Linked DNA regions of Struthio camelus. Each later gene encodes a partner of the first gene's protein in a complex. Links are inferred from orthologs where the notes say so. Each region holds a gene or a part of one and is shown on either strand. Other genes may lie near its edges.

Region 1 (12,928 bases):
TGTTTGGTGAAATTAGCATTTTATATGTATTGTTCATAGAAAAGATCTCTTAATATGCTAAGATTAAATGGGGATTTTGTTCTGCATAAGCTCTTTTCAGATCATTCTAAAGGTATTAGCGTTTTCACAACTGTAGTAAGGAAAAAATTAGTAAAAGTTGCATTAACTGCAAAGCCCTGACACCGAAAAAGGCATTGGAAGGGGCTTTAGAAGACATGGCTATTCAGACACAACTCACTGGCTTTTACGCAAAGATGCATGTGACCAAGTACTATCTTTGTGGGTTTGGTTGGGAAGGTGGGGGAAGAAGGAAGGAAGAGAAAACCATTGGATACCCTCCTTCTAATCACTTCTTTTCTTGGGAGGAGAAAACAGAATCTGTTTATTACTAAACTTAATATGATGGCTCTTTAATAATATCTTTACAGCAGGCATAACTATTGTAAGAAATATATTCAGGGGGACATCTTTCTATGTGTTTGCCTTTGTCACCTACCTACATTTAATTGCCAGCTGCACTTGAAGACTCTATCAAAGTCCACACTGTAAGGAAATTATTCAAAGAACTAACAGAGATGGAAAAACAGCAAACGAGACTTCAGCCATGGATAACAGCCTCTCCCACCCTCTCAGCACACAAAGAATGAGTCAGAGGACATAAGCCGTGGAAACCATTATACATACAGCCAGGGCAAGCCTGAGGGCCTACACTCACTCCTGCTACTAGAGGCAATGAAGTCAATGGGCGATATTTTAGCCAGTGCCAAGGGTGAATTTGCATGGGGCTTTTTGCTGCCCTGTGCCTGCATCTCAACATCTTTTGTGGAGGCACAGGTGGTTACAGTACATCGGGCACTAGTGCTGCTGCCAGCTGGTAGCAGGGCAGAGCAGAAAATATGGCACTGCGTTTCCCCTCCAAGCGCTGTGGCACCAAAGCACAGCTCGGAATGGTTCCAATAAATCAGAAATCAATGAACTATAGTAAAATTATAGGCAAAGCCAAAGCCTTTTTGTAAAAAAGGGTAGACTGTAGAATCTGCCACTGTCGATTATCTTGGGATTTCATTAGTTACACCCCACTGAAAAGTAGGCAGGACTGATTAAAACTTCTAATATCAGTATTTTGAGCAGTTGGTTTTAAGATTTTAAAAAGCTCAAAAACCAAAAAGTAGGGATTTTCTCCTCAGAGTTTGTTCCTGCAGGAGTAAACTTGAAGCGGTATCTTATTTTAAGCATTTTTATGATTCTGAATTAAACTGGGGACATATATGCGTCCTATATGTTGCTCTTCCAGGGCTTGAGACATGCTTCCCACCGTAAAACATAAAACCTATAGAACAGAGTACAGGTAAATAGTTCTGAATAGTCAAAGATGTCAAATTTTCACTGGCAAATCCCTGGCAATGTTAATATAACGAAAACCTTACTAAGAACGTATCTCCATTCTTACTTTTAATTTGCTATCTATGAAGAAATTAAAAGTGTTAAAAAAGATTTTGGTTTTCCTTGAAATATGAACTGGTCCAACATCTTGCATTTTTGTGACCTTATTTTACCAGTCCCTTAAGCAGAGGAAGGCTTCTTGACTATTAAGCCTAAAGGTTAACCATTAGAGGGCACTCTTCTCTCCTCTGAAAAAGAAGTGCACTAATAACTTATCATGCTTTTCTAGCATATTGTGAGAACTTATCTAACAGGTAAGAAAAACAAGGCCCCGAAGACTTATCACACTTGATGATCCATAGCGATTTTCTTGAGATGCTTAGTGTCTTGGCTGAATTGCAGGCTTAATTTTGTATCTTCTCCCCAGAGTTTTCTGGAGAGGGATGATCCTGTCTAAAATGCAATGCTCCCCAGGCACTGCTATAGTATTGCACATTAGCCCAGAAGTGGCCATTTCAAGTTGCAAATGAGCTCTTTCCCATGTATTGCAATATGTATGTTATATAAAGTTTGAAGAGTGCTGTATGAAAGATGCTATGTGATTGTTAATTACTGTGACACAGGGACTTACCTTTCTGCACCAAAGGCATAAATTCTAGTCAATAGTCCCCGTGACTAAAATAGTGTGAAGAGATACACGATGCTTCACCAGTAACTAATTTTTAAGCTTCAAAGGCTAGAGTGCAAATCAGAACTGGTAAATATTATGGAAGTGCATTGCAAAATGCTGAACTCCATGAAAAGGTTATGAAAAGGAAGTATTTTTAAATTGTTGTTGCTTAAAATGCACGCACGTTATGGTTAATAGAGCCCAGATGCTGCTCATTTTTGAAAATTTTAGCAAACTAAAACAAAAAAGTGTTTTGGTTCCTGTCAGCCTGAAATGCGATCTCTTTTAAAAGGATATTTTAGCTGCATCAGCCCAGCATTAAAGTACTTTACAAATTTTGGAACTGTAACTTTCTCAAATGACATTTTTATAATTCAGCTTTGAAATGTAGCCATGGCTAAATATTCATAAGGCAAGTATTGGGTTTGCCCTGTGGTCTGGTGGGCAGTGCCAAATTAAAATCAGAATCCTGCACAGTTCACACTGAAAATGCTACAGCTAAGAGGCAGTGCTGTTTTCAACTCACTAGGAGATGGAAGAGGAGAAAAGAAGTAGAAGGTAAATGGCCTGGCCTTGGATTCACCATCAGCATCAGTCCAAAAATTCCCCCAAAGGTGTAAAGAAAATGCTCAAGCCTTTGAGGTCATCTATTTCCCATTTCCCTTTGGGGATATCACCGGACTCCTGTTGGAATAGCTTGCCTGTACAGTCTGCTAGGCTCAAGCAGCTTCTCCTCTGTGAAGTTTTTGTTGTAAGGAATTTTTTAGCCATTTTAAGAAATGCACAGTTCTCACCCTGAGCACCAGGCAACATCTTCTGGTAGAGAAGATGAGAAAAAAAGAATGGATATTATACTTACACAGGGGAAAAATAAGATAGTAATGAAGAACAAGGAGAGGAGGCAACTATATGTGGTACAAGGGGACTTCATAGGATATTTGACGGGAAAATTACCACAGAAGTAGTGGGAGTGATAGTGTTTGCTGTGCACTGACAGGCTCTGGAGAACCCCTGCAAATAACTGCAAAGACAAATGAGGTCTCAGGGCCTGGAGAAAACTTCTGGAATACAGCAATGACTATTAGGCCAAGGAAACATGTTGGTAAGCTGCCTATCTCCTGTTGAAAAAGTATGTTTCATATAGTATGACAGTAAAAGTGGGGGACAAAATGCCTCTGCTTATGATTGAACTTCAATAAGGAGTAAATAAACTGATAATCTGTTCCTTAAAGGGAGGACACTGGTGAGCCCATTGCACTCTTGGAGCAGGATAATCCTTGTCAAGCACCTTTAGCATTAAATGATGCTTAAGTTACTTAGAGCTGACCTCCTTTGGGGGAAGTGTTGGATGAAGGATTTTTGTTTATAAATTGCAACTGTACGACCTAGGCAAAGTGGCATGGTAATGATGCTGGAAGTTAGGGTCTCCCATTTATCTGCTAAACGGTTGTAACGCAGAAATCACTGGTGAAGTCATCACTGTGCCATGTCCCATTCCCTAAAATATAGTGCTCCAGACTTTCCTACTGGGGGCAAGAGAGGACTTGAGCTTGAGTTTCAGTATGAAATCTTGGCCCTTTTGAAGTTGGTGAGAGTTTTGCCATGGACTTCAGGGGAACCAGGATTTCACCATGCCATGGCCCATTAATTCTCATCGAGACATTCAGTGAGGGAGCTAATTATGATAGTGGTTTCTGTGATGTGGTCAGCCCAAATTCGTTTGCTGAGTAGCCATCTTCTACCAACAGCTTTTGCTCATTAGGGACTTCAGTCCTGGTCCTACAAAGTCCCATTGCCTTCACTGGAACTCGGGGCATAGCTCAAAGATGTGGTGACTTGGGCAGTCGCTGCTGGTTGAAGGAGCTCCATCTGCTACTCCTTGCTGTCCTGTGTGCTGACACAACTGCTTGTCAGGCTGCACTAGGAACCTGGCCAAGGAACTAATCTGAGTATAAAACACCCCTGCAAAAGCTCTTGTATCATTGAATCACTCTCTGAGGCTGGAGGTAAGGGTATGCCTGTGTAGCAGATTACTTAGATGGTGATTCAAAGGCTTTAGTAGCTAAGTCTTGAGGTAAAGGACACCTGTGCAGATTTCCTAGCTGTTGAAGCCTCTGACTGAATTTGAACAGGCAAATGGTGATTTCTGTTTTTAAGAGAAACAAAAATAATAGTAATCAACAAGAGGAGACTCTTTCTAAAATAAAACAGACAATCCCTCTCCACTCCCACTTGCTTTATTCTGATTTCAAGCTCAAATAATGGAACATAATAAATATTTGAGAAATCTTATCTGTCAGGGGCCTTTCTGAAGCAGGTAATCTTGCCTCCTATTTTACTTTGTAAAAACCTCTGCAATGGAGTTTATTCTATGAATGAATTACAAGTAAAGCTGACAAACTGTAGTATATCGGCTTGATCTTGAATCCTAAATATAGATGGGAAAACGGGTTCAAAAAAGGCTACCTACACTTGAGTAGAGGTAGAAGGATTTGACCCTACAAAGGCTGTGGGAAATAGGGGATAGGCTGAGGTAGGGGAAGCCAAAAATCATTAAATAACTTAGAAGAATGGACTATCATTAAATGACTATCAGGAAAGGAAAGGGCTTGAATTACAGCAAAATGGTGAAATGCATATATGGGAGGGGTGGGAGCATATGAACACTAAAAATAAAACCAGTCAGCTTGGACAGCAGGGAAGATGTCTTTAGCAGTGACAGCAAACAGGCGGGGAATCAGGCTCCCAAGGGAGATAGTCAAGACACCAGAGTGCTTCCAGCAAAAATAGATAAGATGCTAGTGGGAATAGCATGTAGAGAAATATGTTGCATGAGGAACGTTATGACTGTATAGCGTAAGCTAAAAAAAATCACCCAACCCTCTTTTTTTATCTGATTCCAATTAAACAGAGCAAGCAGAACACTGTACTCCCTCTGCCTGTTTCTGCAACATCTAGTTGTGACAAGGGTAAGATGAGGGTTATCTACTGTCTGGGTACATTTTTGTGTGGGAAGCCTTTACCCTCAACCATCTATGCAGCTCTCGTTGGAGTTTGCTCATGCTCCCAGCTGACATTGTCGTAACGCAGGAGGATACTTCACCCAGCAGAGTCAAGGACAACATTTTGTAAGGCAGACCTGGCCTCAGGCAGGTATTGCTCTTGAGTTGCATTGTTTACAGTTTCAAGATCTTTTTTGCAACCTTGAAGGCTGGAAATGTATTTCTTTTTGTAGATGGTTTTAACTGTTATTCTTTTCCAGTAAAAGTTCAGAGTCTGGTATTATCACGACTCCAGGAGCTACAGCCTGATGCTAGAGTCAATCTGCAGTGCCCAGACCTTTAATGTGACCCAGATGTTATCTCCTACTGTAATCATAAGAAAAGCTATGAAAAAGTATGTTCAACAGATATGAAATTAAAAGTTAAATGTTTCCATAAGTTTCTAATAACTCTAAAATAATACAGGCTTTCGAATGTAAGGATTTCAAATTTTGCTTCAAGTTGTTCTGCTTCATAGCTTTCCGCTAGTGAACAGCTCTCGTATTCTGTGAGAGAGAAAGTGGCACGTACATCAACAGTCCCTGTAGAAGTCCTCATGTAGAGTTTGTAAACTGGAGAAAACACAAGAAAGTTGGATTTTGTAGTGCTTAGGAAAAAAGAACAGACTAGGTAAGGAGGGAAGCGTTTTAAAGCAAGGGCATGTTAGAAGATCACAAACTTTTTTTCCAGGAAAAAGGCTGTTTAAGCGGATATAGCTTGTGAAAAGAGCAAGTTATGCCTAAGCACGGCACATTAGCTACTCTTTGGCATTCATTTGCTGTTTCTAACTACTGCTCAGAGTAGTAGTTTGTGCCATTTAGTTTAGTAAGGGGAGGGGGGGGGAAACCAGAATCCCCCTAAAAGTGCCGCGAAATAAATCACATGCCACGACATCAATCAAGCAGCAAGGTCCTATTGATAAAGGAATGCATCTCAGCGCTGCCCTGGGCCAGATCAAGGTTATCAGTCCCCACACAAGGGGGCATGCATTGTAACTGCATTTCGCCAGGAGCGCTTGGTCTTTTTTTTTTTCCTTCTTCTTCCCTTTCTCCGCCTGCTACTGTACTATGAAGCGGCTCGGCCCGGTGCCGGGTGCCCCTGCCTCCCGAAGCCGAGCACGAGCAGGCCGGCGGGAAGCTCAGGGACGCGGCCGGGCACCGCGCAGGCCGACAGCGCCGCCGCGGGGGCTGCGTCGCCATTTGGGCCGGGGGAGCGGCCAGGTACGGCCCGGCCCGGCCCGGCCCGGCTCGCTGCCCAGGGGCAGCGCGCAGGCCCGGCTCCACAACCTCACCCGGCAGGCGCCGCAGCGGGCCCGCGGCCCGACCTCGGAGGACGCGGCCGGGGCTCTGGGCCGGCCAGCCCGGCGATGCCCGCCTTCACCTGGAGGCGGAGGAGGAGCCGCAGGGCCGCGGAGGGACCCTTTGTCCTGCCGCCGCTCCGCGCCTGAAAGTAGTCCCGTCCCTCCCAGGGCTGATGTTGTTCCGAGCGCCGTATCGCACCTTCCTCCCCCCCGCCCCCCCCCAAAAAAAAAAAAAAAAAAAAGAAGAAAAAGGCAAAAAGCAGCGGCGGAGGGAAAGGAAATAGTGCGGGGGGACTGCGCAGCGGCGGCCGGGGGCAGCGCCGGGGGAGGCGCGCGAGCGGGGGCGGGGCGGCCGTGGGGCGGCCGTTGGGCGGCGTGGGGGAGGCCGGTATCCCTGCGCCTGTGCGCGGCGGGCGGGGGCGGGGCCGGGCCGGGCCGGGGCGAGCGGCGGGGCTGCATGGGGGAGCGGCGGCGGCGGCGTTGGCAGTGAGGCGGCGGCGGCCGGGCCGGGCCGGGCCGGGCCGGGCCGGCGTGGAGGGAAGCGGCCGCTGCCGTGGCGGCGCGGCGGGGGAGGCGGCCTGCTAGGCGGCGGCGAAGGGCGATTTGCGCGGTTGCCCTTCTCTGCTCCTCTCCTTTTCCACCTTCTCCTCCTCCTCCTTCTCCTCCTCCTCCTCCCCGCCGCCTGCCCGAAAGTATGAACTGGCAGCGGCGGGGCTGCTCCTCTCCTCCCCCTGCTCCGCCGCCGCCGCCTCCCCGCCGCCGCCGCCGGTGAGAGGGGAGCGAGGGAAGATGGGGGCCGTCCTGCGCAGCCTACTCGCCTGCAGTTTTTGTTCCCTGATGAGAGGTGAGCGGGGCAGCGGGGGGGGGGGGGGGGAAGGGGCGGGCAGGAAAAGTTGACGGGGTTGTTGCGAGGGGCCATGTTGTGTGAATCCAGTCAGGGAAGGCCCCGGTGGCCGGGTCGGGTCGGGCTCCCCGCCCCGCCGCCCCCCCGGCCTGCCCTGCCCGGCCCTGCCGTGCCCCCGCCGCGGTCACCTCGCGGGCAGCCCTCTGGGCGCTCGGCAGGCAGCGCACGGTAGTGGTGGTGGTTATTGTTGTTGGTGGGTTTTTTTGTTTAAGTTTGCCCCCCCACCCCACCGCACCCCGAGCTGGTCGCGCCTCGCCTGTCTGTCCGCTGCGGATGGACAGCGGAGCAGCCCCGGTGAGGCGACCACCAAAACGTCACGCCAGTATTGCTATTACAGTCATCACGTTCCTCTCCTCTCCTCCCCCCTATCCGCGAAAGAAAGCGTTTTCTATTTTTCTTTTTTTTTTCTCCCCCCCCCCCCTCCCCCGCGGGAGGAGAAGTGGGGAGCCCTACACACTCAGCGAGAGAAGGCGAAAGTCTGTTAAAACTAGTATTTCACTGACATTTTCCACACACCCGAAGTAAGTGCAGTATGCAGTTGGCAGGAGGAGTAATGCTCCTCTCCGCTCTGCTGGGGCTGTTTTGGGACTTGAGAGAAGTTTGTGTTTCTGTGGTGGGTTGTGATGAATGCTAATATAGCCTTAAATAAGCATTCCAGTGCGCTACAAACGGATATCACTTAAAATACTTGATATAATTTTTATACCCCTTCCCATCTCTCAACATGACTTCACATATACTTCACGGCAACATCCATTTCTCTGTGTTTGCTTTTCCTGGGGAGAAAGCAGCTGTGATGTTTGCATCCATCGTTTTGTTATTTGTTTGTATTTTTTTCATACTACATGGGAGAGAAGATTAATTGCTGATATTTAAAGAAATCAGCCACACTTTGATTTAGAAAATTAGTCTATTGCCACCATCATTTTGTTTTGAAAGCTGGAGTGAAGGTGGTTTGGGTTGAAGGAGATGCTTGGTAGCCAGTTACTTAGTACTCTAGAAAAGGAAAAATTTCTTCTTCCTCCTACCTTTTTTTTCTGTGCATCTGTTTGCCATATTGTATCCTGTTTGCAAAGATACAAGTATATTTATTTAAATAGGCTATGTAACATTTTGTGGTCCTCTTGCAGCAGTGAAATCCAATTTTCAAAAAGTTCAGTTGGATATGAAGCATAGAGAAGAACTGTTTTCCAATTGGTTCATTTTGTTATGTAACGGCCGTACCTGTTCTTAATGAAACATTTATCTGGCTCTAACTTGCTGTTTAACCTAGTTTGAATGACAGCTCAAAAAAATCACTGTCATACGTAATGTCACACAATAGTAATCACTTATTGTCACTTCTTCAAATTAATATCCAAATAATTACATGTCCTTTTGCGAATGTTCATTTACTTGATGATGCTTAATAAGGAACTTTGAAAAAACACAGTAAACTGTTTGGACTGTCTCTTTTTTTCCCCCTTCTCTCATCTTTGTCGATTGCCAAGGACTTTTGTATCAAAATTGTGTCTTTGTTTCTTCAGAGTTCATGTGCTCCTGCTGCTTGATCACCTACCTGAAGTCTCCATCTTCTATTTGTAACAAGATATTAATTTTCCTACTGGCTAGTTGTTACCTTAGGTAGATATAAACAGCAGGAACAGCTGAACTCAGAAGAAACAGAAATCAAATTTTAATGCATGCATCCTCCCTAACAAACAACATCTCTGCAAGTAGAATTGGTTTGAATAAGATATGTTTGGCTCATAAGAGGTGTCAGCAGTTCCTTAATGAGGCAGAGGCAGTGCCAGCGTGAGTATGAATAAGTATATACATGAAAGTAGCAGTTCTGAAGGTCACTGTTTGGTTTGTAAATTTAGTGCTGTGAAAGGTGCCAAGCCAAAGTATTGGAGACTGAAACCCAGAAAATCTAATAGCATGTATTTGTGGATTGCAGAATCCTCTCCGCTTAGAGAAGTAGCCTCCCTTTTGCCGCTGACTTAGAAAAAGCAAATGGGCAGAGGTTTACGATAGCTACGATCGCTAGGGAAAGGAAATGATGATAGATACGTTTACCAGTGTGGAAAGGATTGAAATTGATAACCTGGAAGTGCAGTGTCCTGTGAGCTTATAGCTTTGGAGAAGTACCAGGCAGTTGCTAGCTAGAGACAGGTGCACAGTACAAGACACCTCTCTACCAAAGTAGTCCAAGGACTGTGATGAGCCAGATTCTGTAGCTGTTTTCAGGGCAGATATTTTGATTTGTAAGGGCCAGGAGGTTAACATCACTACAGCCTGCTATGGAGGCTTTGTAATTTCTTTCATATTCTCTTTGATGGAAGAAAGGGGTCACTTCTCTGAAACTGCCAGACCATCATCACAGTCTGACATCTCTACTCCTCTTACTCCTCTCTTGGCTCCTGGTCTGATGTTGGGGATTGAGCTTTCCTCCTCTCTGAACGTGAGCAGTGTTCAGGGAGCAGCTCCAAGCAAGGCTTGGAGGACTGAGCTTGACCTGCTTCGTGGCAAGTTTGCTGTGCTCTTCATTGCAGCTGTGAATCCAGTCAGGATCTTGTTAGGTAATTGACAACTGCAAAGAGGCAAAAGCTGTAGCATCGGATCAGTTCTAAAACTTTGTAAGTGGGGAAACTGAGATTTCACTCTTTTTAATATCAAGCATTCATGGCTTACCTTTCTTCCAGAAAGAACTTTCCAGTCAGCATGCGGTTACTGTTTTGTTTTGCTTTTAAATGCTGAGCATGCAAAGAGTGCATAAAGCTGTTGTTTGAATAGGAATCTTATAAATGATGTTTGTGCAAATGTACTGAATGTTGCAGATCTCGATGCATAAGGTCAGTTAGTGAAGAAATGAAAATGCCCATTTGGTAATGGGCATTTTAAACGCTCTTACTTCCCCCTTATGTGCTCAGAAGAGAATTTGCTTTAATTTGTTGTTTATAGTAACTTCCTTTCGATAAACAGAACATCTTTGCTTTTTGTATCTTTTTAGATAAAGAGTGGTTTGTATGTGGCTTAGAAGAGCTTAATGTTCAAGACTTGCTAAGCTGTAAGTGATTGGAGGTGTTTGCATGTGTTTTTCTGCCAGAAGTCAGAGAAGGGGACAAGGAATACGCTTTTTACTTCTGAAGCAGTCAAGTTGGAGATGAAGCATGGAAGAATTCGAGCTGGAGCTACATTTTTAAGTTAAGGGTCTCTTGACCTGTGACTATACAAAACTAATGTATTGACAATGAGACCTGGAAATATCCTTTTTGTAGTCATCATGGTGTATTTCTCCACCCAAGCTTGAATCAACCATATTCTATTCATATTTTTTCAGTGTATGATTCCTTAGAAATCAGTGTGACTTTTGTCTACTGTAATTTCTAATTCGTTTTACTCTTTTGTCTCTCCATAGAATTATCTAAAATTAGCGTGATCTAAGGTGTTTTAAAAACTCCACCATTACCTTAATAGTTTTTGCAATTGTGCCTCTGATATATTTCACTGTCATCAGACTGCTTCAGCAATATATATATTTTTTTTCCCCCCCAAAAATTAGGAATGTCAGAAAGCTTGGTAGTGTGTTTGGTATGTCTGGGATGTGAGGTGAAGTAGCCTTTATGGAAAGGTATGCTGAAGATATGAGGAAGCTGCGGGTATATGGATGAAGCTGCAGATACCTAATCACAGGTGTACGAAAATGGTGGGCTCCTTGTATCCTTCATTAGGAGTTTTCTAAAGTTATTCAGCCGAAAAGCTTCTTATATTCATGATGTTTTACAGAAATACTGCTTAAAGGGGTGTTAATCATACACCCTTTTTGTATGATTACACATTTTTCCCTTGTGAACTGATTACCATCTGCATTCTCTGAGTTACAGATAACATGGGGATTTGGCTGGAATTTTTAGGATGAGTAAACAAGAGGGTTTTTGCAGGAAGACAGGTCAGGAGCTAGGGCATAGGAGCCTTTTAAATTGTCTGTCTTTGGGGCCTGGAGAAATCTGATTCCTTTGGACATCTGTAATCTACCTTTATGATGTCACATCTCAAAAATGCTGGTTTCAAAATATCTGCTGTACTGCATACAATATGGGATTTACTTTTTAGTTTGAAATCAAGTAGAGTACAAATATATATATATATATATTTTTTTCTTCTGAGGGAGTAGGGTAGGGGAAGAAAACGGGGAGAAACAGCTCTCATCTTCTGATGTCACTGTTCATCTCCTCTGGCAGCCAATCTTCAGACTTAAACGCTAGGCATATTTGACCTCATTAATTTCCTGGGAAATGCTAGCTACTTAGGTTGCTTTGCTGGTGGCTTCATCAAGAGTCCACTTCCCTGTAGTACAGGGAGGGTATGTGTCATTGTTGAAAGGCACCAGAAATGTTTCTAAAGCTTTCTTGTACACTGCTGCTTGCAGCTAAGCCAGCTGCTGAGTCCTACCACTGTACCTGGGAGTGCTCCTCGCTCCTCCTGGGAAGCCCTTGCTCTTCAGCTGGCTCACCAGAGAGAGACTTGGTTCCTAAACTACTGGAGGCTGGCTGTATTCTTTGCTGCCACTTCTTTGATGACACATGAAGGGCCGTTTGTATTTTGAAAGCAATAGTTACTGGTGAAGAATAATTTATGTTGGTAAGTAATTTCCCAAATAGACTTTTACTGGTGAATAACATAAATTGCTTAGAAAGACATGGGGGGGGTGTAGCTGTTTTCCAAACTTCAAGAATGTTGTTTGTTCATATTCATTTAAAGCAATTGGCATTGTTCACTTACAGTTCAGCCATTGAAAGGCTATGGCTCTTGGAGTACGATCGCTGGTGTGTGTGGACATGATGCGTGGGATGAGCATGCAGTGACTACTTACAATTCTTCTGAGTTGAACACTTTGTAGTGAAGGCCCTACTAGAGGGTAGTTGCAGTGACCGTCTTTGTTAGCCGAAAGGAACTCACTCTCCTCTAATAGCAACCTTTATTTATACAACCTATGCCTCACTTGTGTAGTTTGACCAGAGTTACAGAATATACACCACTGGAAACAAAAAAGCTGCATGATTCTTTTGAAGAACAATTGTCCAAGGGTTGGAAAGAGAGGGCATTGCATCTTTAATGGATTTTACATTAATGCTGGTTATTGACACCCTAAATGTTAAATAACTTTTACCTATTTAGATTTGGCAGACAGATTAACACGCTTGGAGAGCCTTCGTTTAGCTGTCCATATATTCTTGTATTTATAAATATTTATGGAAGGAGGTTCACAGTTTGCTCCACATGAGTAGAATTTGATTTGGCTACAGTGGTGGTGTTTGCAAGTAGAAATTAGTTTGTCATAATTGTTACTCCTTTCCATTGTGTTCTCCTGCGTTCTGGTTATGAAAATGTGTTTGGTTCCCTCCTCCCCCCCGCTCTCCTTGTGATTATCTGGCTATAGACCTTTCTATTTCAATTCAATTGGCACAGTCCCTCACTAGCTTTGAAAGGTAGTCAAACTTACCAATTTATGCATAGAATGTTAATACTGTAATATCTTCTATTTGATTAATGGTATGCTTTTAAGAACATACTATTCAAAGTGTAGGTTAAAAAGCTGTGGTTTGGTTAGTAACAGTTCTTTGTGAAACATTATAAAGTATTTAGAG
Region 2 (11,913 bases), on another chromosome or scaffold:
AGGGTATGCCTGACCTAGTGGGTAAATATGTGAGTGAGTTAGCATAGCACTGTGCTAATACAAAGGGTCTCCCACAAAGAACTCAAGAGTTGTTGGTTAAACTAATAGAACCCTGAGATGTTTATGCTCAGTTTTTATATGTGCTTTAATGTAGGTACAGATTTAAAATCTAGCACTATTTAACAAGAAACACTCTTGTATTAGTAATGCATATAACCATAGTTCCACAGTTTTGTACATTCAATTCACTTATCAAAAATCACAAAGGACATAGATTGTTTTACTTCTAGTTGGTTTGCCTTTTTTCCATTTAATCGGATAGCTTTCTTGAAATTAAACTCCGGAGATGATTATTTTGGTTGAAGATGGGGCTTATTTCAGTTTCCTTGCACAGGATGGGAATTACCAACAAGTAGTACTTTGTCTTCTGTGGCCTTTAAAGGAACAACTGGGGAACACTGCATAGCAAGTGTTTCCTTTCACCTCCCTACAGTCAGTCAATATTTAGTGCTTGTTCTGAAGCAGAATGGTTCAGTAATACCTAGCAGTAGAGAGTTCCTTAGGATAATTGCAATTGCAATTGTTCAGTGTCTCCCATTTTATCGAATTTAATTGCTGTTTTCAAAATTCCTGGTTACTTTTTTCATGTTATGCCGTGTGGGGAATAGGAATGCTGGCCTTATCTTTTCTACAATACTGCCTTTTTCATTCAGCAGTCTTATTTATAAATCACACTTTTAAAATGTTTACTGTGGGCCCAGATTTTTTTTTTTCCTCTCTCTGCCTGCACTGTGTATTCATAACACCTATCCACGCTACAGGAAAAACAAACAAACAGAGGTGCACATGCATGCACTTTGGCTTTGATTTGTTACTTAGAACTCAAAAATTCCAGTCCAATAAACGACTAAACAAACTATTTGGTATTAGATTTTTTTTTACTATCCCAAAGAGTATAAAAATGCTAGTAGCTGTCAGATTAAAAAGCAAATGTTTTGTTAGAATGTGATAAAATGCGTTAAAATGGTGATGCTTTTGTACAGTTCTACAGGTCGACAACTGTCTAAAAATAGAGATAAATCAAGAAATACAAGAAAAGGTTCATGTGTTCCAGGTGTTTTTTTTTTTTTTTTTTTTGATTCATAGGACACTGCTCCATTCTAGTGGTAACTTCAGGGATACTCTGGCCAATTTATCTCAATACAACAAAACTTAATTAACAAACGTGTTGTAATATGCGGGGGAGAAGACTAAGAAAGACGCTCATAAATTAATTAAACTGAGCTCTGAGACAGCATATCCTAGTCTGAGTTACTGATAGGTGACTCTCAACCATTTCTAACTTTGCCTTTAGAACAGGCTAAAAATAGTTAGGCTGTCACACCACTGCTCCATTAATGGATTGTACACTGCTCTTTTATCTTTCTGTTTAAGTACTAGAACGCTGCAAATTCTTCTGCCTATCTTAGTGGACCAAGAAGAGCTTATATTCCTCTAATCCATAATCATATGCCATGTGCATCTGTGTGTCTCTTTCTGACTGTGGAAGGCAAGATTGTGTAGAAAGAGGAATGAGACCTTTCTACCATTATAATGTGACATTGACAGAATATCAGAAGAAGTATGCCTTTTTGTTTATGAAGTTACCATGTAGCTGCCTGTTGAGATAAGGTGTTCCTTACAAGCATGCTAGCTGGAGAAGGTATTTTAAAAAACAAATAAGCAAGCAGAAACATAACATTTTTGGTGTTTAAAAATCTTTTGATGATAGCTAAAATAGGGTAGTCTGGATTTATATGAATATGTTTATCCTGAATAGCAGCATGGTAGTTTTTGTGTAGACAAGAGCTTTGGAGAAGGGATGGGATCTCTGTAGAATATGCATCTGTCACAGAACAAGGATATCCAGCCTGTCAAATCCCGGGGGGGGGGGGGGGGGAGGGAAGATGTGGGGAAGGAACTACTAGCATTTTGTAACACGGAGCAAAGATGAAAGTCTGGTTAGATAATAATTCCTCTAAAATGATCATATATGTACAAATAAATTGACCTTGTTATCTCATGCTGAACCAAATCTCACCCGTTATATAAGCACAGAGGAGGAGTTTCTATCTTAAAATTAAGATTCAAAGCAAAAATGACATTTTCGGAGCGCTTTCTGTCCTCATCCTTTTGCCATGCAGCTAAGACTACACTGTTGACAACAACAGTGTTGTATCTAGCATGCTACTCTGAACCAAAGGTACCGCCAGAAAATACTTCACAGAAGGATGTTGCAATAGAGCACTGCTGACAAGTGAGCATTTTGCAAAGCTATTTCAAAATTAGACTAACAGCATATGAATGCAAGGCTAGCAGCCAGTATAAACCATACTGTAATTCCATTTGGGGATGTTGAGCACGTGTCAGTATTGGACATGTTTTTCTCCTGCAACATGAGTTCACTTCTCTCTCTTGGTCTTGTGAGAATTAATTAAACTTCATAAAAGGCTTTGCAGATGAAAAGCACGGTATATAATAACACTACACGCTCTTTGACTTGAAAGACAAGCTTATGTCAGGTATATGTTCCTCATGCCGAGGGGAAAAAGAAAAAAAAAAAAGAACCATGGCAGTAGATGTGATATTTGCAATGTTTACTTTCATCATTTAAATATGTTCAATGAGATGTTGTCTCTTGACCAGAAATAGTTCAATCTCTTACACTTGAATTGGAAGCAGGATTTTTTTTCCCTTCTTTATTAAATCAGTTTTGCTAGTTTACTAGAAGAGTCTTAGCATAGACGGACTATCCAATGTAGTCTCATTAGTATAGCAGAGAGGTTTCTTCTAAAATTACTGTCTGGGCTCTATCAATGAATAAACTGAAAACAGAACAGACCTCAGAGGTAGCTTCCAAGGGTTTGTTATTGAGAATTCATATCCTTATGCTATGCTAGCTAACTCATGCTGTGTATGTCATTGCAACTCTGAATCCAGATGAGCAATTGTGAACCAGGCCTTTGATTTTGTTTGGGGTAATTTTCTACGGAAACTTGGGAGTTAGAAGTCTGTAATGCCCTACTGAAAATATAATTAAAATCCATAAATTATATAATAATCAAATTATTTGGCCCTGGAGATAAAAACAGTCTGTACTAACTGTCTACAGAATTTTTTTCTTATCATTCACAGTCAGTTAATAGTTCCACAGGCTTTTCACAACCCCTCTTCTTTTTCTGATGTATACTTCTTATATACGTGGAGCTGTTAAGTCTACTTTTGATTGTAAAGCACTCTCTCTGGTAGAGACTAAACTGGAAAAATATATATGCATCAACAAAAAAATAATTCTTAGTAGGAAGGTTAGCGTGGTAGTAAATAGCCGATTTAGCCCCTTTTTTCTCCTGGTACTGCTTTATTTCAAAAATTCAGATGTACCAAGTCAATATCACTCATACAGGCTTGGTACATTCTCAAGTACAAATAATCTGACTAAGCATATGGCAAATTTATTGTATGTCGATAGTGAGATCAATGACTGAAGTTACTATAGATTGGGCTTTGACTGTTACGCTGAAGAATTAACTCTTGCTTTTGTCAACCAGTTTACAAACAGTTAAATGCTACTGTATGTTAATCATACATATATGTTACTCTACTTTTTTCACAGTAAGGTTATGTACGTTTCTTGTGGAAAGCTGCTGTTGCTGACTGTTGTTATTTGTGCCATCTCGTAGCTTTGGACCTTGCATATATTTTGCCGCCATCTCAGATCATTCTTCTAGTAATCAGTGGATTTGGATTGATGTGCACAGTGCTACATTTTGGTTTATATTCTGCAGATAGATAGGCTCCTGAACCAAGCTGATCATGGAGTTGTTAATTTCACCCACTATTTTAGAAACAACTTCTTCAACACTAATTTTAGCTAAATCAACTCTCACCATTATTAATCATTCATCAGCTTAGATATCTGTTACACAGCAGTAAGACAATACAAGAGGTATGGCTAAAATCTTGTGCAATTGCAAAACCAAAAATTAAAACTGGTAGCCGAGCAACTCCCTTAGGGAGACAGTATGTCCTACAGAAAGTACCACACTAGAAAAATGATAGAGTCTTTGTCAAATACAGCAAGTAATGGGATAGGTCTGTCTTGAATTTAAATGCAGCTCTATTCTGTGAGTAAATCAAGAATGTCTGCTTATAATTTTTGAATGGGCAATGACTGACTCCAGTTCTTACCCTTTAGATAACCTCTTCCTTGGTTTATTTTGGACATAAACCCTACAAACTCAGGTTGCGTGCAGCTGAATTAAGGCTTTGTATTTTAATTCCAGTATCTCAAGGGAGCCGGCTAGCTGACTCCCACCAGATGGAGCTGTATGCTTACTATTCTTCACTAGATAGTCATAATTCCATCTCTGGGTGATGCTACTGTATGACTCTAATGTATTCTCTTGTTAGTATCAAAAAAGGTTATTCACCACAACGGTTTATCAATGCGTTTGCTCATCTCCGGTGGGAGAAAACTAAGCTTCCGTTTCTTCTTGGCTTCTTAGAGGAGTTCACAACATAGCATTCAGCCTGATATATTCAGGCGGCCACACATGGCTCAGCAGAATTCTCGTGAGAAAGATAAAAGTTACTCAGGCAAGGCTGGCTCAGCAGCATCTCGGGAAGAGAACTGTTTGAGAAGCAGGGAAGCTCTTGAGCTTGTCAAAAACGGAATTCCTGGGCAGTGTGCAAATTAAAGCCTAATTCACAGAAAAGTTTATAAACTGTGCACGTGTATCTTAGTGCTTGGATATCTAACACAACAACCCCGGCCCCAGCTATTGCGGGGGTACGTTTAGCACCAGAGATTACATTTGGCAGAACTGATTTTAGAAATTGTTTTCTATGCGTTTGCCTTCATAGTACAGTGTTGCAATTTAAGCTCAGTAGGACACAAGTCTGAGTCCAGACAGCAGCAGTAAAGGCTTCAGGCTAAGTATAGGATGCCAGTTTACTAGTTGTACCCGCTCCCACCAATACATCTGATGCTTTCTTAGCTAGACTAATGGTGTTCTTTCAGCTCAGAAAATAGTATAATAGTATCCCAGTTCTGCGGATAGTGGTCTCAAACTCGGTTCCACCCGGGGTGGGGGGGAAGAAGGAGGGTCGTTATGAAAGTGTCCTCGATGTTATAAAATCAAAAATGATTTTTGTTTTTTCCTGTGCTTCATTAACAATGTAGAATGAATTGTTCATGGGGGCTGCAGCCCAGACCACTTCTGCTTTCCTTTTTGCAGAAAATAGAGTGAATAGGCAACCAACTACAGGAAGTGAAAGTGTTTTTATAGTTAAGGAAACTGAATGCCTAACAGGATTTGGCTGCTTTTCTTGCCCCTACTAATGCTGCCCTCCTAAATTGTGCACAGGAGGTTTTAAGCCAGAGGCTAAATATAGCTTCCAATTTTGGCTTTTCTAGATTTTTTCCATGATTTCTCCCAGTCATCGATACAGGTAAGTGTTAAGACCGGTAAAAGAGGGGATTGTTTAAATACTTAGGGTGAAACTGCATGGAAGAAATCGTTTATGCTTCATCTGAAAATAATTGCTGTAAGTGTGATTCTTTGTAGTAGGCCTAACGCTGACAATGATATCATGAACCTCGAAATACTCTCTATGCAGACGTTATGTGAAAAGAAATTAACAGAAACAGAGCTTCGTTAAGTAGAGAGACACAATTCTGAAGACATTTAAACAGAGGAGCGAATAGGTGACGGTTCCTCAGAGATTACCAGTACTCAACTTTGTTCTAGTCTCCTGTTCTGCTTTTCATCTGCACTCCCATTCTGCCATGAGCTGTGACCTATCAGCTCTTCAAACACAGGTTACTTTGGAAAAGGTCACTATGCTACTGGTATTCTTGCCCTGACAAAAAGAATACTGAGTTAAGATCCTTGCTTTTAGTGCCTGGTCACCCTTCCCCACTTTTTCAGATAAAACTGAAGGAAAAAAACCCCACTATTTTTCTTGTGGGCCATTAGAGCTTCACGTTACAGTTTCACAGAATCACAGAATGGTTGAGGTTGGAAGGGACCTCTGGAGATCCTCTAGTCCAACCTCCCTGCTCAAGCAGGGTCCTCTAGAGCATATTTCCCAGGATCACGTCCAGACGGGTTTTGAGTATCTCCAGGGAAGGAGACTCCACTACCTCTCTGGGCAACCTGTGCCAGTGCTCAGGCACCCTCACAGTCAAGAAGTTTGTCCTCAGGGTCAGATGGAACTTCCTGTGGTTCAGTTTCTGCCCGTTGCCTCTTGTCCTGTTGCTGGGCACCACGGAGAAGAGGCTGGCCCCCATTCTCTCGACCACCCCCCCGCCCCGCCAGATACTTGTACACATTGAGGAGATCGCCTCTCAGTCTTCTCTTCTCCAGACTGAACAGGCCCAGCTCTCTCCGCCTTTCTTCAGAGGAGAGATGCTCCAGTCCCCTCATCCTCTTTGTAGGCCTCCGCTGGACTCTCTCCAGTAGTGCCGTGCCTCTCTTGTACTGGGGAGCCCAGAACTGGACACAGGACTCCAGGTGAAGCCTCACCAGGGCTGAGTAGAGGGGCAGGATCACCTCCCTCCACCTGCTGGCAACACTCTTCCTAATGCACCCCAGGATTCTTTTCTGAATAAAAGAATAATAGCTATATTATAAGGGCTGAAAGCAGAGCTTAAGAGATCTTCATACACAATTTCAAATATAATTTGATCATGATCATCTAACCTGTTTTTACAAAAAGAATCCTCCAAGGAAGATGAATCCACAGCTTTCGAAGCAGGCATCTGTCCTTTCTTCAGAATCCTTTTTATTTGGTGGGCAATACCTTGAATGGAAAATAGATTTAGTCGTAAGTGAAAAAAATTGTGCTTGGAGAAACCTTTGCAAGGGCTAAGTATTTGGGCTTCCTATATTTGTCAGACCAGCATTAATTGCTTTGGAGCGTAGACCAGCATTAATTGCTTTGGAGCGTAAGAGGAAGTTATTAATGAAAGATAATCAGCCCTGTTGCTGCTGTTTATAGGAAGAAAGGAAACAGCACATCTCCGGCAAATGATGTGGCAACATTCGTTATTAAAGAACGACATCCTGACAGACTCTGCACAAAAAAGTTTCATGTATGAAGACAACAGTGTACTGTATTCCTCTCTAGGAAAGAGAGTAACTCCTGTGGTGGTAGGATGAGGAGGATGCAGGCTGGGGGGAGACAGGGAGAGGGAAACAGTGCAAACAGTTGTATGCAACACAACGCACAATTGCTCTTAGAGCTTCTTGGGACTATTTGGAAAGAAAGGCCCCGCCAAAACGTGTTAATCTGTAATTTTGGAGAAGAAAGGGCAGGAGAGAGAGCATGTCACAGTATATTTCAGATGCTATTGTTTTAGGAACGGACCATTATACAAAATAAGTAGGCTACAGCTCATCTAACTCAGTGCCGCTATTGCATCTGCTGTGCGTCGCTGTGTGTGTGTGTGGAAGGCAGAAGAGGTGAACCGTCCTCAAGTCATCATTGCTATTGTTTGAATGTATTATTTTTTCATCTGGGTCACACCAAGGGTGAATGTGCCCCTCACTTTAAATTTGGTGACACCTGTTTTCCGTGCCAGGTCAGGGCAACTGTCAGACTGGAATGCAAGCCTTAGGTGATCAGTCCTAGGGAGCAGGGAGAAGACAGACGGCCCCAGCTGTTTGCAGTGTTCAGACAGGTAGACCAGAAGGCAGAGCACAGAGGCTGTTATTGACATTCCAGCTAATTGTTAAAAAAATGCTGGTTAAGTGATTCACTTAACATCTGTTCTACACGAAATATTTTCACAGGGATGAACTGTGTGTGACAAACATTGCAGCTATGCACAGAGGTGCTTTACTGCTTTATGCAAACATTTTGTTTTCAGTAGTTATGATGAGAGCTCACTGTAGTTTCTAATCTAACTTAAAAGGTGAGATACTTTTTGATTAATGTATTTAACCTGACATCATTTGTAAATAATGTGGAAATATCTATGGTCTTGAGGCACAGAACTTGCATGCCACTGTCCCCGCTATCACTTTATTTCTGCAAGGGAAAAGAAGAATGCCATAGATGAGATTTTAAAACATGACACATGAACACATCTTGGGCATAGATGTCCTAGGTATTAGATCAGCTCTTTTCTAATTGGTTGTACCATGATTACAAATCAGTCTGGCCCTGTTCTGTGTTTAAAGTAAGCAAATGTCCTAAAAATCAACACACACAATCTGCTGTACAAAATGTCAGCAGAAATAGTGGTATGCAATGATATTAAAGCAAATGCAAATGCAAATGCAAAAAAAAAAAGTGCAAAAGAGCACATCAGAAAGCACGGTGTGCAACAATCTGGCTGTATAGCTTTACTAACATGCTCCAAATAACCTATATTTTTAAGGAAAACTAAGTAAAACAAATTCTCATTTTGAAAAGAAGAGCTCTTCCCTGTTTCTTCTAGTCCATTTGAGAAACAAAATGCAGAGATCCTTGTTTTGTAAAGAAAACAAAAATTATAAAACCTCAATCATTTATCTGCAGGGACTGAAATGCATCACTACTGAGCTACAGTTTCTAATTGTGCTTACTTTATACTTGGGGAAAAAAAGGCACCAAAAAAAAAAGAAACCCCACACCCCACAGAAAAAAAGTTCCCAATAATGAGTCTGAAACCCCTTGAAAAAGACAATAACCAGAGTTTCAAATATGGAGATCAAAGCAGAGCTTAATTATAACACTGTTAGAAAAATTTGCAGAAAAGACTTGTCAGGCTACAGCTCATCCTAGTCTTGTCAATCACCCACCATTGTTACCAGGCAGAAAAATGAAGTATATGAGAAGCTTTTAAGCACACAGAGTATTTTTTGCTAAACCACCCCCACACACCCATTTAATTTCTGACCCATACTGACAAAAGCTTAGATGAATGAGTTGTTGTTTGGCCCTTCCCACTTTGTATAGTCATTGGCTGGCTTGGTTCTAAAAAAGATTTAAAAAAGGACAATAATTTGCCTTTGCCTGGGATCTGAGGCTGTGAGGGTGCTGCAAAGCTAATCTGGGGGCTGCCACCATGCAGATCTCTTGGGCTATGTGCTCTGTTTGTGTCTTAATCCAAATTGCATTTCGATCGGTGGAAGGGTGGCAAATGTTTAAAAATGATGCTACAGAAATCATTCCCGAGATCACTGAAAATACAGAAGCACCGATGGAGCAGACTTACAGTGACAACAACAATACAATGAACCAGGCAAAGCATGGGGGAAGACAGATACAACAGTCTCCAGACCCTAATGGTAAGAAAAATGTTGTATTACTGTTTTAGATGCTAACAGACAGTTTATGAGAGGACATTTAGTATCATCTATGGGTATTTATTAAAACCTTTTGGTATGGACCTAATGCTGTAAGTGATAGGGAATTACATCCACTGTTGAAGAAGTAGCAATGCAAACATCAGGAGGGCTATGTCAGGGTTAACTGATAAAAGAAAGGTATGGCTTATCTATTAAACAATCCTTAGGTACTACAATATGCATTCCCGTCCTGCCCAGGAGCTATGTGCAGACACAACTCCAGGACGTAAAACCTGTGGAAAAACTTGACTTTTAAACGTACAATACAAGCAGCAGTCATCAGCGGTTTAAATTTCCCTGTGTAACACGCTTGCAAGCATTGTGCGAAACAGCATGGGTCTTCTTTCTCTCTTTGAAATTAGGATGGGGCAATGGCTTGGTAATAGAGCCAGTAAGGTTTCTTAACTATTTAGGAAGAGTCATACTAGTGATGTCTTTAAGATCACACAATGAAAAGGTCACATGGAGTTTACACTGAGCTAGACCAGAGAAGCGTGCTGCTCACTGTCCTTTGCCAACAGTAGCCGGAGCTTCAGCCAGATGCCAGTAGCCAGAAAAAAGCTGTTATGCGCAAGTTAACGCACTCCCAAGGGGAATTTATGCCCAAATGAATTGGCGGGGACTCTCACTATCCTGCAGAGCTGTGCAATCCTGGGAGCGGTTTGACTACTTTGACACAACTGACGTACTTCCTAATGCGATATCACTGTATTTAGCCAAATGTCTGACATCAACAATGACGCAAAACAACTTTGTGAGGAGAGACAGGAAGTGAGGAGCTAGCACCAGCAGTTTGAAAGGAGGACTTCTGCTGGCAAATAAGCCAAACTTCATTCTTTCAGACTGCTGTGTTTGGTTGCCAAACACACATAGCAACAAGTCAAACTTGGTTTCCACTATTGGGCATTTCACATCTGAGCTACACTTCTTCTTCTGTGGACAACTGGAAGGGAATTGTGTCCTGCTGCTGCAGCTGTCAGTTAGGGGTTGAAAGCCACAGCATTAGCAGTATTTTAAAAGAATAGAGAAAGAAAGAATAGTATTTTTTTCTTTGTTAAAAGAAACAAAACAAAACAAAAAAAAAGAAGTCATGTTTTTTAAGCGTACCATATCATAAGGGTCTTAAATATGTAGGAGTGAGCTCTCTGCTTCTCACAGGCATCGCCAGCAACCACCAGATCAAAATGGGCTGATTTTGTAGCTACGTCTGAATACCTTGGTTTTCTAGCCTCTATCTACTTTGGCATCATTTGCAGTGGGGAACGGAATCTGGCCCACTGAAACGTGCCTATTTTTTTTGAGGTGGAAAGGACGTTTATTTAAGAAAGTGAGCGAGAGAAAAGGGGATTGGATAGTCATTCAAGATATGCAATGGTCTCATATACTTATTTTAACATCTTTAACACAAGGAATCAAAACTATAGTCCAAAAGCTGCCAGACCTTCCTGGGACACATGAAGTTGCCCAAGACCATGAAATAATTTTGCAGTATGTGGAACCTGTACACATACAGGACAGGACATGTGTGTGCAGAAAAAAAATCTATATGGCTGAGGCAAAGGGCCATATAGCCACCCATATCTGCCTATGTACTGCAATGGTCCAGAACATCTGATTCAGACTGTTATTTTCTACCTAGAAAGAAGTAATTTTCCTAACGCTTAGGTAATTCAGGAGGATCAGACTAAGCCTACGTGGAGTTCAGTTGCCAGCATTTTCATCACAGCTTTGTGACAAAGCTCAACAGATTTGGCTAATGCAGTCCATAAAACTTTTAAAACATGAAGTCCTGAAAGCTGTATTTAGATACATATAAATCCAACCACTAAAAATCATGGTTCCACACTTCACGGAAAAGAACAAATTAAAAAATGAAAAAGTATGTATAAATATAGTTCTATCGCTAATGACTCAGGGTCAGAATTCTCTTTTGGTGTACGAAGGAGGGAAACATTTTGTACACAGCAAAGGTAATGGGGCTAACAGACACAGCATTCTCTTTGTAAGTTGACCTCTGATGATTTCCATCACAAGTTAACCTGAGTTATCCTTTTGATTAAGAGAAGAGCACTAGCATGCAGTTACCTAGATGAAGTTCATTGATAAACGCCTTAAAAAAAAAAAAAAAATCAGTCTTTATGTCTTCCAAGCATGCTGATAAGCAAAGCGTTCTGCTTGGCAAAAGGGGCCCCCCCTCCCTCCCCCCTCGGCAGTTGCCCCCTCCCCCCCTTCCAACCCATGAAAAGAAATCCATCCAAACATCCATTATTCAAGGAAAAGGTCTATGCCTACAAGCAGAAAGTTCTTCTCAATTCTTAACGCCAGAAAGCTTGTATTTTCTAATGCTTCCTTTGCCTATTGCTGTCCATTAAGAAAAAAGGGGGGGGGGAGGGGACACAGTTAAGGTTTCTAATCAGCCAGAAGACACCTCTAGTTGTCTGAAAAAAAATGATGTTGGACTTGTGGGATTATCACAAAGAGCAGTAAGCTTGGAAAGTCTAATGCCTGAAGCACAGGAATTCCTTAGCACTGTAGT

The links.
Region 2: the proteins of LRP6 (region 1) and SOST are in contact, whole or in part, in a crystal structure (PDB 6L6R), measured with the Homo sapiens proteins. The link is inferred for Struthio camelus from reciprocal best matches to the Homo sapiens genes LRP6 and SOST. Residues at the interface, in NP_001401174.1 of Homo sapiens: Arg28, Asp52, Val70, Ser71, Glu73, Leu95, Ser96, Asp98, Glu115, Arg141, Trp157, Trp183, Asn185, Ala201, His226, Phe228, Trp242, Met269, Arg336, His361, Asp379, His404, Asp406, Thr422, Glu447, Arg449, Trp465, Trp491, Asn493, His534; in NP_079513.1 of Homo sapiens: Leu115, Pro116, Asn117, Ala118, Ile119, Gly120, Arg121, Arg169, Thr171, Arg172, His174, Asn175, Gln176, Ser177.

What each region holds. Positions count from the first base shown.
Region 1 is NC_090942.1:81,179,873-81,192,800, reverse strand, and holds the start of LRP6 (low-density lipoprotein receptor-related protein 6), read left to right. Parts: upstream 1-6,937; 5' UTR 6,938-7,183; coding exon 7,184-7,238; intron 7,239-12,928. UniProt on the Homo sapiens protein: Component of the Wnt-Fzd-LRP5-LRP6 complex that triggers beta-catenin signaling through inducing aggregation of receptor-ligand complexes into ribosome-sized signalosomes.
Region 2 is NC_090966.1:8,176,648-8,188,560, reverse strand, and holds the start of SOST (sclerostin), read left to right. Parts: upstream 1-6,832; 5' UTR 6,833-9,094; coding exon 9,095-9,317; intron 9,318-11,913. UniProt on the Homo sapiens protein: Negative regulator of bone growth that acts through inhibition of Wnt signaling and bone formation.